Linked DNA regions of Saccharomyces cerevisiae S288C. The protein of the gene in region 2 binds, or shares a complex with, the protein of the main gene of each other region. Each region holds a gene or a part of one and is shown on either strand. Other genes may lie near its edges.

What was found.
Region 1: IMG2 (region 2) and MRPL3 share a complex: the UniProt entries of both Saccharomyces cerevisiae proteins name them as parts of the mitochondrial large ribosomal subunit.
Region 3: IMG2 (region 2) and MRPL31 share a complex: the UniProt entries of both Saccharomyces cerevisiae proteins name them as parts of the mitochondrial large ribosomal subunit.
Region 4: IMG2 (region 2) and MRPL27 share a complex: the UniProt entries of both Saccharomyces cerevisiae proteins name them as parts of the mitochondrial large ribosomal subunit.

The regions. Positions count from the first base shown.
Region 1 is NC_001145.3:320,290-323,710, reverse strand, and holds MRPL3 (mitochondrial 54S ribosomal protein mL44 MRPL3), read right to left. Parts: upstream 1,837-3,421; coding exon 664-1,836; downstream 1-663. Other genes in the region: CSI1 (Csi1p), read right to left, coding at 1-411; MSS1 (Mss1p), read left to right, coding at 2,694-3,421. UniProt on the Saccharomyces cerevisiae protein: Component of the mitochondrial ribosome (mitoribosome), a dedicated translation machinery responsible for the synthesis of mitochondrial genome-encoded proteins, including at least some of the essential transmembrane subunits of the mitochondrial respiratory chain.
Region 2 is NC_001135.5:239,468-242,225, forward strand, and holds IMG2 (mitochondrial 54S ribosomal protein mL49 IMG2), read right to left. Parts: upstream 1,077-2,758; coding exon 636-1,076; downstream 1-635. Other genes in the region: peptidylprolyl isomerase family protein CPR4, read left to right, coding at 1-544; RSA4 (Rsa4p), read right to left, coding at 1,338-2,758. UniProt on the Saccharomyces cerevisiae protein: Component of the mitochondrial ribosome (mitoribosome), a dedicated translation machinery responsible for the synthesis of mitochondrial genome-encoded proteins, including at least some of the essential transmembrane subunits of the mitochondrial respiratory chain.
Region 3 is NC_001143.9:184,786-187,185, reverse strand, and holds MRPL31 (mitochondrial 54S ribosomal protein mL60 MRPL31), read left to right. Parts: upstream 1-1,504; coding exon 1,505-1,900; downstream 1,901-2,400. Other genes in the region: APL2 (Apl2p), read left to right, coding at 1-726; CMC1 (Cmc1p), read right to left, coding at 894-1,229; HSK3 (Hsk3p), read left to right, coding at 2,174-2,383. UniProt on the Saccharomyces cerevisiae protein: Component of the mitochondrial ribosome (mitoribosome), a dedicated translation machinery responsible for the synthesis of mitochondrial genome-encoded proteins, including at least some of the essential transmembrane subunits of the mitochondrial respiratory chain.
Region 4 is NC_001134.8:766,638-769,180, reverse strand, and holds MRPL27 (mitochondrial 54S ribosomal protein mL41 MRPL27), read right to left. Parts: upstream 942-2,543; coding exon 501-941; downstream 1-500. Other genes in the region: SSH1 (Ssh1p), read left to right, coding at 1-238; glutamine amidotransferase subunit DUG2, read left to right, coding at 1,575-2,543. UniProt on the Saccharomyces cerevisiae protein: Component of the mitochondrial ribosome (mitoribosome), a dedicated translation machinery responsible for the synthesis of mitochondrial genome-encoded proteins, including at least some of the essential transmembrane subunits of the mitochondrial respiratory chain.

The DNA.
Region 1 (3,421 bases), on a different chromosome or scaffold from region 2:
ATGTTGGCGAAACACGTTATATTTTATCAGATATTTCAATGCCAAGGCGGTCAATTGGGTGAGCACTTTCTCCGTCACTTTATTAGTGATATTTTCGTCCTCTTCTAACTGACATAAATCAAGAATACCCAGTATACAAATGTCCTTTTGAGTCACTTTTGTTAGGTTAATTCTCCTTTCTAGGCGTTCTTGATTTATTTTATCATTTTCCTGCATCGGGATTCGTATAACTTTTTCAATATACCATTGAGACTCTGCTTCATTACCATTTATTGGGATGTAAATTTCATCATCTTGATCCAATTTGCAACCTATCAATAAAAACCAAGAGTGGTCTATCGAGTCAAACGATGACTCGTGCAGGAAGTTAATTTCTGATATAGCTAGAGAACTGAATTTTAGGAGGTCCATTTACCCTATATTACTTTGCTTTGTGTTATTATCCCCTCACAAATGTGCGTTCTCTTTAAATATAGCAAGTCTTTTTTTTTTTTGTCTGTTTCCTGGTAAGATATAGTAGTAAACAAGGAACATGCTTCTGTTCACTTTTATATATTTTAGTACACATAAAGTAAACGCATATCGTACCAACGTGTATATATATATGTACAAGAATGTATTCTGGTTAAGGAGTTCTCTATCTACAAAATGGCAAACACAGAACTAAACAACAACAGTGCCAGGATCAATAACTGGTTCCTGTTGAGCAAGAGGCTCGTAGCAATACCATTTCATCAAAGCATCAGTAGCGGCTCTTGCTTTTGCCTCCTTTAATGAGGAACCATAACCTTCACCTAATGTCTCTTCGCCTGAAAATACATGCACAATAAAGACAGGTGATTTCGATAGTCTACCAGACTCAGCGACCAGTTTCGATACAGGTTTCTCCAGCCCCTCTCTACGACATAGCATAGCCAATTCTCTTGTAGGTTGTTCAAACTGGAACATTTTCGTGATATCCAATTTCCTGCTCATTATATGATCATCAATAAATCTGTAAACAGCTTGAGAATCTTTTTGCTCCGTTACTGCCCAGATGGCAGCTATTATACTCCTCACGCTCATTGCAAGAGCGCTTGTTTCTGAAAAGTTCTTTCCGGTGATTAGCTCAATACCGTCCTTAGAGTTCAATGAATTATTAAAGAATTTGAGTCTTCCCAAAGTGAATTCGAATGGTTCCATTTTCAAATAGCGTGATAAAACAGACGTAGTTTCTACTTCAATACCCCAGTATTTAGCAATGTGCGCCAGTACCGCCTCTGATATATATGCGTTAACCGCAGCATTCAAAACCACAGTGGGTAGTCTCGGATATTTCTGTATAATGGATTTTGTAACGTGGTAAGAGAGCAAGTTCTTTCCCATGATGTTTAAACCGTGGTTGTCCAAGTATTTATTAGTAGGTACAGTATTAACGAAAGCTGCACCTTTTGTAGGATTATTTATCTTGTCGGGTAGTTTTGCAGAGGGACACGTTAAGCATCTGGAAAGTGTTGAATAGGTCAACTCATTAGGTAATTGTAATCTCTTATGAAGCGTTCTTAACGAAGGTGACTTAGAGGCCACTGATTCAGGTATTTCATTTACAGTGCTCTTCAAACCCTGGTAGTATTCCTTATATTTAGCAAGTTCAGATTCGGGTAGGAAGCGCTTTTCTTGTTGTGTTAATGTTGAAAGGTGTAGGTATCGTTTTGAAGTAAATCTCGAGGATTGCTGCAGAAAGCATGTGCTAGACAAATGCTGTGAGAAAGGTCTTATGGTTCGGCTCCAATGCCACGTACTGTTTGGAAAAGGTTTCATACCTGCTGCTATTGCTCTTTTCAAAACTATGCCCATTCTGTATATATAACTACAGCTTTCTTTTCACCAATTCTTTTCAGATTATTTTAGTATTGCTCTTTTTCAGAGGCGGGAAACTTCACTCTTTACCCGGCTGCATATTGTAAGGACCTTTTCTATAATCACGCATTAAAGCGACTGTAATTTATATCTAATAGGATAATAATTTGCCATTAATTATTCATCTTGTTGCGTCTACAATCATTCTATTCCGTATTCTTTATGTCAAGGCATAAGAGACCTTGGTGTTTACTTTTCATCTTTCCGTAACGTTTTCTATAAACAGTAAAATTGATGAATCTTTGGAACTCCACCTTTCTTAAAGGTAATAATATGCCATCCATATCGGAACGAATGGGGATTAATAATAAATGAGTTGCTATAGTAGCAATCTAAGTGCTGACATCGTATACGTCTGAATGTGAATGTGCCGATTCCAGAAAAAAATATTCTACTTGCAGTTCAGAAAGTACTGAGGCGGCGTTAAAGATCTATTAGATTGATAATCTTCTGATAGTTGTATATATATATATATATATATATGAGTAACACGGGTTGCCACATGTCTTCAAATTGGTTTCATTAATAAAAGTTTAAAAATGTATCCTACATTTATGTTTTCTATACTTCTTCAAAGTCTTCAATACAAATCGGGCGTGTGGCGTAGTCGGTAGCGCGCTCCCTTAGCATGGGAGAGGTCTCCGGTTCGATTCCGGACTCGTCCATTTTTTATTTTTTTGGCTAACTAACCCATATATAACGTCTTTTACGAGGTTACATGAAGATACAGCAATATTCCATACGACTGCTATCTACTTAGAGAATGTTATATATGGTTAATAAGTATTCTATTTATGAATAGTGCATCTTTCTTACAATCACGGCTTATTTCGAGATCCTTTCTCGTAAGAAGGTCGTTAAAGAGGTACTCCGGACTTGCAAAGCCTTATACCTTCCAGCAACCAACCATATATGCATTATCTACACCAGCAAATCAAACCTCTGCGATAGCAATCATAAGAATATCTGGTACCCATGCTAAGTACATTTACAATCGACTAGTTGATTCAAGTACAGTTCCGCCGATCAGGAAGGCTATTTTGAGGAACATTTATTCGCCGTCCTCTTGTAGTGTGAAACCTCATGATCAAAAGGAAAGTAAAATATTATTAGACACATCGTTGTTGCTATATTTCCAAGCTCCTTATTCATTTACTGGTGAGGATGTGTTAGAGCTGCACGTTCACGGCGGGAAAGCCGTAGTTAATAGTATACTGAAAGCTATCGGCTCGTTACACGATAGAAGCAGTGGTAAAGATATAAGATTTGCCTTGCCTGGCGACTTCTCCAGGAGGGCGTTTCAAAATGGAAAGTTTGACCTTACCCAACTTGAAGGTATCAAAGATCTTATTGATTCGGAAACAGAATCTCAAAGGAGATCTGCCTTGTCAAGTTTCAATGGGGATAACAAAATCCTATTTGAGAACTGGAGGGAAACCATTATCGAGAATATGGCACAGTTGACTGCTATAATAGATTTTGCCGACGATAATAGCCAAGAAATTCAGAATACGGATGAGAT
Region 2 (2,758 bases):
GCCCAAATTTGATGACGAAAACTTTTACTTAAAACATGACAGGCCTGAAAGACTCGCAATGGCCTATTTTGGACCTGATTCTAACACCTCGGAATTCATCATCACCACTAAAGCCGATGGAAATGAGGAATTGGATGGCAAAAGTGTCGTGTTTGGTCAAATAACTTCTGGTCTAGATCAACTAATGGATGCTATTCAATACACAGAAACAGACGAATATGGAAAGCCTCAGCATGAATTACGGTTCCTGTATTTCGTTCTAGAAATCTTAAAAATTAGTAACATCTTAGATTTGCACGCTGCGTACACAGAAAAAGTCGAGAAGTTTAGAAATGGCGATGTGTCTGTTGGCTCCACTTTGGAAAACATCTTCCGTAACGATAAAGCCTACACACCTTTAACCACCTCCACTGGAACCACCGCCTATGATTTAAACCACCCAATTTCCAGAGCCTTGATGTGTTTAACTGTTCTTGGCCTTTGTTTCATTGCCTACAAGGGCATGCACGAAAAGCCTCATACGGTTTCATTAAGACACAAGTAAGCAACTTCTTTTCGATGGCTTGATGACCACATGGCTATGATTTTAATTAATATATATACATGACAATTATTTTTTTATACATTAGCGATACCTAAAATTTCTTGGTTAATACCCTTTTGACAGCCTCTACTGCATTGCCCTTGATAATAATTTTTTTCGATTGCATCACCACAGACCATGATTTTTTGGGTATGAAAGGCAGTTGCTCCTGCAAGTCATTTCTTAGTTGAATTACATCTCCTTCAATCTTTCTGATCTCCGTGATAATCTTGTTACCTCCATTTTTATAAGCGGAATACACCGGTAGATTTCCGGTCCTGCTTCTCTCCACGTAGTAGGTCTTTTTACCAAAATTGTTGTTTCCTATGAGCTCATGCATCTTCACGTCTTCCAGCTTTGGAAATATTGGCGCCTCAGCAGCTTTATTTGAATTAGTGGATATACATCTTATCGTTTGGTATATCGAGGCAGTGGCAGGCCCTGGAAGGCATTTACCCCTACCAAAACATCTAGTAACACACGAACTGATCATAGTTTTGCTCACACGCTACCTTGGAGTAAGTTGCTTTAGGTAAACGGGCACTTCTTTCAAAAGGTTTTCCTTCTTGCTGGAGCTATACTGCTTATAGTACCATATTTTAAATTCATACCAAGCCATTCGTACGCGATGACCATTATAGATCGACCTTGCGACACCATCATATTTAATATTCAAAAAGAAAAAAATGCAGTTCTATATCACAGTTATATAATATTTATATGTGCATGTATGTTACTTGTCTTTGCACATAACTCAATGCGTCCACAATCTTACCATCTTGTCTTTCCCACCACTACACACTCTTTTACCGTCGACACTCCAGTCGACGGTATAAACTTCGTCTTTATGACCAGGGAGGTCAACAGAAAGTTTTCTAGTTCTTACATCCCACACTTTCAACGTGGTATCTTTGGAACATGACACCAGTAGTCGGCAGTCCGATGACCACGCAACCTGGTATACGCTGGCTACATGCCCTCTAAATGTGGAGATAAACTTACCATCTCTACCGTCCCAAAGTTTGATAGAGTTATCAAAAGACGCTGAGACAATATACCTACCATCAGGGCTGAACGCCACATGATTGACTAATTTTTGGTGACCGGTCATTCTTGCTATAGGCTTGGTAGATTTTAGTGGGTTCCATAAAAACATGGTATAATCATCGCTTGCAGTAACCATCATTTCTTCTGAATTTCCATTCTTTTTACAGATTTTTTCATAATTTTCCAATGCCTTTTTCTGGGCTTCTTCTGGTGTAGAAGGCTTCTTACCTGTATGATCGAATGCACCAATGCGCAATGCGTAATCTGTAGATAAAGATAAGTGATTAACCCAGTGCGCATGCGACTTCAAAATGTTGATACATCTGCCCTGCGAATTGATGTCCCATACACGTACGGTTCTATCGTGAGAGCCACTATACAATAGACCTTGGCCGCCCCATTTGACACAAGACACTGAATTTGTGTGACCACTCATCGTATACTGGCAAACTCTGCTCACAGTGTCCCAAATCTTAATAGTACCATCCTTAGAAGATGAAGCTAATCTTGGTTTGGAGCCCGGCTTCACAAGATGTATAGGTTCCCAACTTAAAGAAGTGATCCACTTGGAATGACCTCTGAGAGCATCACCTAGACACTGACCGCTTTTTGGGTCCCATAATCTTATGGTATTGTCCATGGATCCCGTAGCAATTACTTCTCCATCGGGGGACCAGGAAACGCAGAGAACCCAATTGTAGTGACCCTTTAGAGTATGCATTGGCGTTTGGGTGTCACAGTCCCAAATCCTTGCAGTATTATCACCTGCACCGGTTACCATCCTAGAACTCGTATGTGGTGCGAAGGCAGAACACAAAATTGTGGAACCGTGACCTGCAATGGCTGATGAACTTCTAGTTACCGGCTTGACTTTGAAAACTGCTCTTGGCGTATACAGTAGCGTGATCTGATCTTCTGTACTGTTATAGCCTGGTTTTATTAATGAAGAATATAGGTTATCTGTTATATCAATCGTCTTCACAGGGTCACTGGCCTTCTTACCTTGAATTGTACAGCTGAAGGTATATGGCACTGGATCGTCTGAAGTACCGTTCAATTGATTTAAAAGTTCTTCTAACTGTTTCTCGGAGATAGCACCGGGAACTCTCAGGGCGCCACCTACATTGT
Region 3 (2,400 bases), on a different chromosome or scaffold from region 2:
TCAAAAATCAATATTTTTATAGAGAACTTTGTTCAAGAGGAAGCTTTAACACAGATGTCTTTACTAATGACAATAGTCAGACTACATGCTACTTTAACGGGTAGTATGCTACAAAGCGTCCTAGAATTGGCCACACAACAGACACATGAATTAGATGTGCGAGATATGGCTATGATGTATTGGAGATGCCTTTCGATGCCAAATAATGAAAGTTTGGTTAATGATCTATGTCAAAATAAACTTCCAATGATCTCCAATACACTGGAGAAGTTTTCACCAGAAGTGCTAGAGAAACTATTAATGGAATTGGGTACTATAAGTTCCATTTATTTCAAGCCCGACTCAAATAGGAGAAAAGGCAAAAAGTATGTTCAAAATATAGTTAAAGGAAAACATATAGAGGAATTAGAAAGCATGGCAAAAAATGAAATTTCTAGCAAGGCTAACGATGATGTGCTATTGGATTTTGATGAAAGAGATGATGTAACAAATACAAATGCAGGAATGCTGAATACTTTAACAACTTTAGGCGATTTGGATGATTTATTTGATTTCGGACCATCTGAGGATGCCACACAAATAAATACAAATGATACCAAGGCTGTACAAGGGTTGAAGGAGCTGAAACTAGGTGGCGACTCAAACGGTATATCTTCTGGTGGTAAAAACAATCCCGATGTTTCGGGCGGCAATATAGTGTCACAGGATCTCCTCGATTTATTCTGACTATAAACGTCCGTTGTAGTGAACTTAAGTATTATACCATACATATATACCCTTCGTATTAATTTTTCCTTTTTATTGTTGGGCTGTGTGTATATAATTTATGTACAAGAATGGATATATCAAAAAATCCTTAAAAGATGTAAATCAAAAACATCAATCAACACAGCTTATTTTGTAGAGCTTTGTTTTTGACATAACTTTTCAAGCTTGTTGATTTTTTCTAAAACAATTTTATCCCTTTCACCATCTAAATATTTCTCATCTGTTTGATAAAACAGGAGGCACGATTTCATTTCATCTCGTTGCTTATCACAAGTGGGAAAAACTTTCATTCCATTTGCCTTAGCACAATCTGCCATTGCTTGAACAAAATTTGCACATTTTTTGTATGTTTCCGTCTTCAAGTTCTTGCGAGCCTGTTGTTCTTCGCGAGGACTTAGCACCCATATAGGTAGCCTAGAACTATGTTTCGAGATCATCTGCGGATCTTTGTTTTGCTCCATCTTATCAAATATATGAAAGTTGTTCCAGATAACTTGAAGATATTCGACTTTTGTATCTCTGGCTTTAATTATGGTTAAATCTTCCTAAACTATCATAGGTATAAATACAGGGCACTCCGTTTTCAACTTTATAATCGGAGAAGTACAAGAGCATTCAAAAAGTTCAAGAGAACGGTATAACAAAAGGACAAAGGGAAGCCAAAGAGGGAAAAAAGATATCCGTACTTTGTAGGAAGGAGACGTATTTAAAAGGCTACCCAAGTTATAAGACTCCAATGTTTGGCCCATTCAAATTAACAAGCCCCGTCGCTGGTGGCCTACTATGGAAAATTCCATGGAGAATGTCCACACATCAAAAAACCCGTCAAAGGGAAAGATTAAGAAACGTTGATCAAGTCATAAAGCAATTAACTTTAGGTCTCCACGTCCAAAGATGTCAGGATAAAGGTCTTACTTATCAAGAAGCCATGGAGAGCAAAAAGAAATACAAGCCAAGAAGTAAATCGTTAAGGTTGTTAAACAAACCATCAGTCTTTCCAAAGGAGAATCAAATGTCTTCTAAAGATAAATATTGGACTTTTGATAAAAAAGCTGTTGGTTATAGGAAGGGTATTCATAAGGTGCCCAAGTGGACGAAGATTTCCATTAGAAAGGCCCCAAAATTCTTTTGAATGATACGTAAAAGATCGTTTTATTGATATAAAAATTTCATCTGTATATAGTTTAATCATTGAATAACTTGTTTATAGATCCATGTTTGAAAGTAACACTCCTAAGAAGGCTTTGATGTTTTGTATTGCTCATATTATATCATGCCCATTGAAATCAACGTTATTTTTTTGTAAAGGTGGGAAGAAAGATCAACAAGATAAATGGCGAAATAGAACATATCAGAACATTTGAACTTCAAAACGAAGAGGACACAAAGAATTTCAGGCAAGAGAATGAACGCTAACAAACAAAGGCAGTATAATCAGCTTGCACACGAACTTAGAGAGCTTCAAACGAATTTACAGGAAACGACAAAACAACTAGATATCATGTCGAAACAATGTAACGAAAACTTGGTAGGCCAATTGGGTAAGGTACATGGAAGTTGGTTGATAGGTAGTTACATTTATTATATGGAGCAGATGCTTGGAAAAACGCAATAAGGCATAAGAGGTAAGAC
Region 4 (2,543 bases), on a different chromosome or scaffold from region 2:
ACAGAATGTCGCTAAAGAATTGAACAAAGTCATTCCAATCGCAGCTGTTACGGGTGCATCCGTCTTAAGTTTGATCACCGTTATCGGTGAATCTTTGGGTTTGAAAGGTAAAGCTGCTGGTATAGTTGTTGGCATTGCTGGTGGGTTTTCTTTGCTAGAAGTCATTACCATTGAATACCAACAAAGTGGCGGTCAAAGTGCTTTGAATCAAGTCTTGGGTGTTCCAGGTGCTATGTAAACAAAGAAAAGAAAAAAAAGAAGGAAAACAAAAAAGAAGATCAAATTCTCTCTGCTACGCGCATTTATATACGTACGAACTTTTTGCTCTTCTTTTAGATTTATATGTATCTATATTTAACTCAAAGAAAGATGACATATGGTGCAATGTCTAAGCCATGTTTTATTTGATTTTGTTTTACAATCTTAAGTTTTATTTTTTATCTACCTATAAAGTCGAAAACTAGTATTTACACGCATATTGAAGAAAGATTATAAATAACTTATCCACGCTCCTTATAACATGAAGTGTCGGTGGCCCCTTCGCTTTGTACCCTCCCGTTTACTATGTATTCTTTTATCTTTAATAACTGTAAACGAGGATCTAATGGGCCGCCGCTAAATCCTTTAAATTCGTGTTTTAGAGGTGGTACATTTGCGTTAACGTAGGGCTTTAATTCGAAATTAACCATATCTGGGGTAACATAGGTTCTGACTTTCTTCCAGTTTATCACATAACCACCGAATTTTGTATGTCTACCAATCCCTGAAGCTCTTGTCCCTTTGTACATCGTCTTGTTACCTTGCTTCGTGGTCAACGGCACTCTTTTATTCCCAACTTTTGATAACCCATAAAATAATTCACCATCTCTGTATTTCTTCCAAGGCCTGGTAAGAGCATTAATAGAGGTCTTACTAAATTGAGAAATGGGTGAGCCTTTCATTTTAGTTATTTGCTGTCCTCACTTTCAAGGTAATCTTTGATTCCCGTAGTTTTTTTAAGCAAAAATTGGTGTATACTACTTCAATAGTCCTATCTTTTGTATTAATTCTAGCTTTTCAAAAATAATCCGTGAAACGTGATAATAATAATTATGTATCTCAAGAAAATCATCATCAAATAGCCGCCAACAAGCTGCAGTGAAGCAACATTGAAAGTCCTTCCCGCAAGTATTAGGCTCTGTTTAAAGATTACTAACCTTGTTAATAATTATAATAACACTTCACAGCTATTTTCGTATTCCTTTTCATAGTTAAGGGCATTTCACTTTGATCTAGAATGATCCTCTGATTTCGATGTTTTGTTATATGGTAAGGAAGCTCTTGAGCATTGCTCACAATTACTGCTGCAATTAGAAGTTCAATGAAGATGGTATCTTTTTTTTTTTTTCTCATGAGAGGGAATACCGACTTTACCATAAACTTGAGTGATAATCGCATTGTGCGCCGCGAAAAGCTGTGGCACCAATATCAATAAAATGTGTGTAACTGAATTATTTAAGTGAAAAACTATTTCGAGAAACCGAACAACCCTGTAAGGAAAAGTGAAAAACGAGGGCAGAAGTAATTGTGAAATCATGTACGATAGCAGGGGTGTCGCATTGCACTCTGAACTAATTCATAGGTGGAATCACGCTTTTTCCATCTTATCCATTGTTGCATTTCCAAAAAAAAGATTGTTGTTTGCTGGTAGCCAAGACTCCAAGATATTGGTTTTTGATCTTCCCACATATAATCTAATACATACGATTAGACTAGGCGAATCACAAGAGGAAACGCATACCAGATCTTCGGTTTTGTGCTTGACAGGATCAGAAGATGAAAACTTTTTATTTTCAGGCGGCGCAGATTCTTTGGTGAGAATTTGGTCCATTGGCGAAAAGACCATTAGAGATGACTTTCTACCTGTTACTGAAATAGCCACTGTTTACTCAGTGACCGATATTGGTGATATTTTCTCATTGGCATATTTGGATTCGTTGGAAACTATTGTCTTTGGCTGTCAAAATGCAAGCTTACTATATGTTGAGAACTTGATTCAGAAGATTGAAAAAAAATCCTCTGATGGAGTAGAAAATATCAATAAATTACCGCATAGAAGATATGATAAGTTCTTTGATTCGTTAGGTCCGACTGGATATAGTTCAAATTCATTATCTCAAACTTCATTGACCTCTCTACAAGAAAACTGTGGCGCTGCCATCATAGAGGTTCCCTCCGAAAACATTATTAAATATGCACATTATGGGTTTATTTATTCTATTAATAAATTGTGTCCCAGGTTTAATCAGTTATTGGAAAAAAGCTCACGAACTTCTGGTGCAGAGCACATAATTTCATCCGCTGGTGATGGAATAAGCAAGCTTTGGGAGTTCTCTAAAGATAAAGGGCAAAACACTGTTAAAATCTCCTTGATAAACGATAAAATCGACAATGAAGATAGCGTCATATCCCAAACTATTGAGTTCCCATTTTTATATTGCGGGTTGACTGACGGGATTATAAAAATCTGGGACTTAAATACTCAGCAAATAATCTCAACTCTG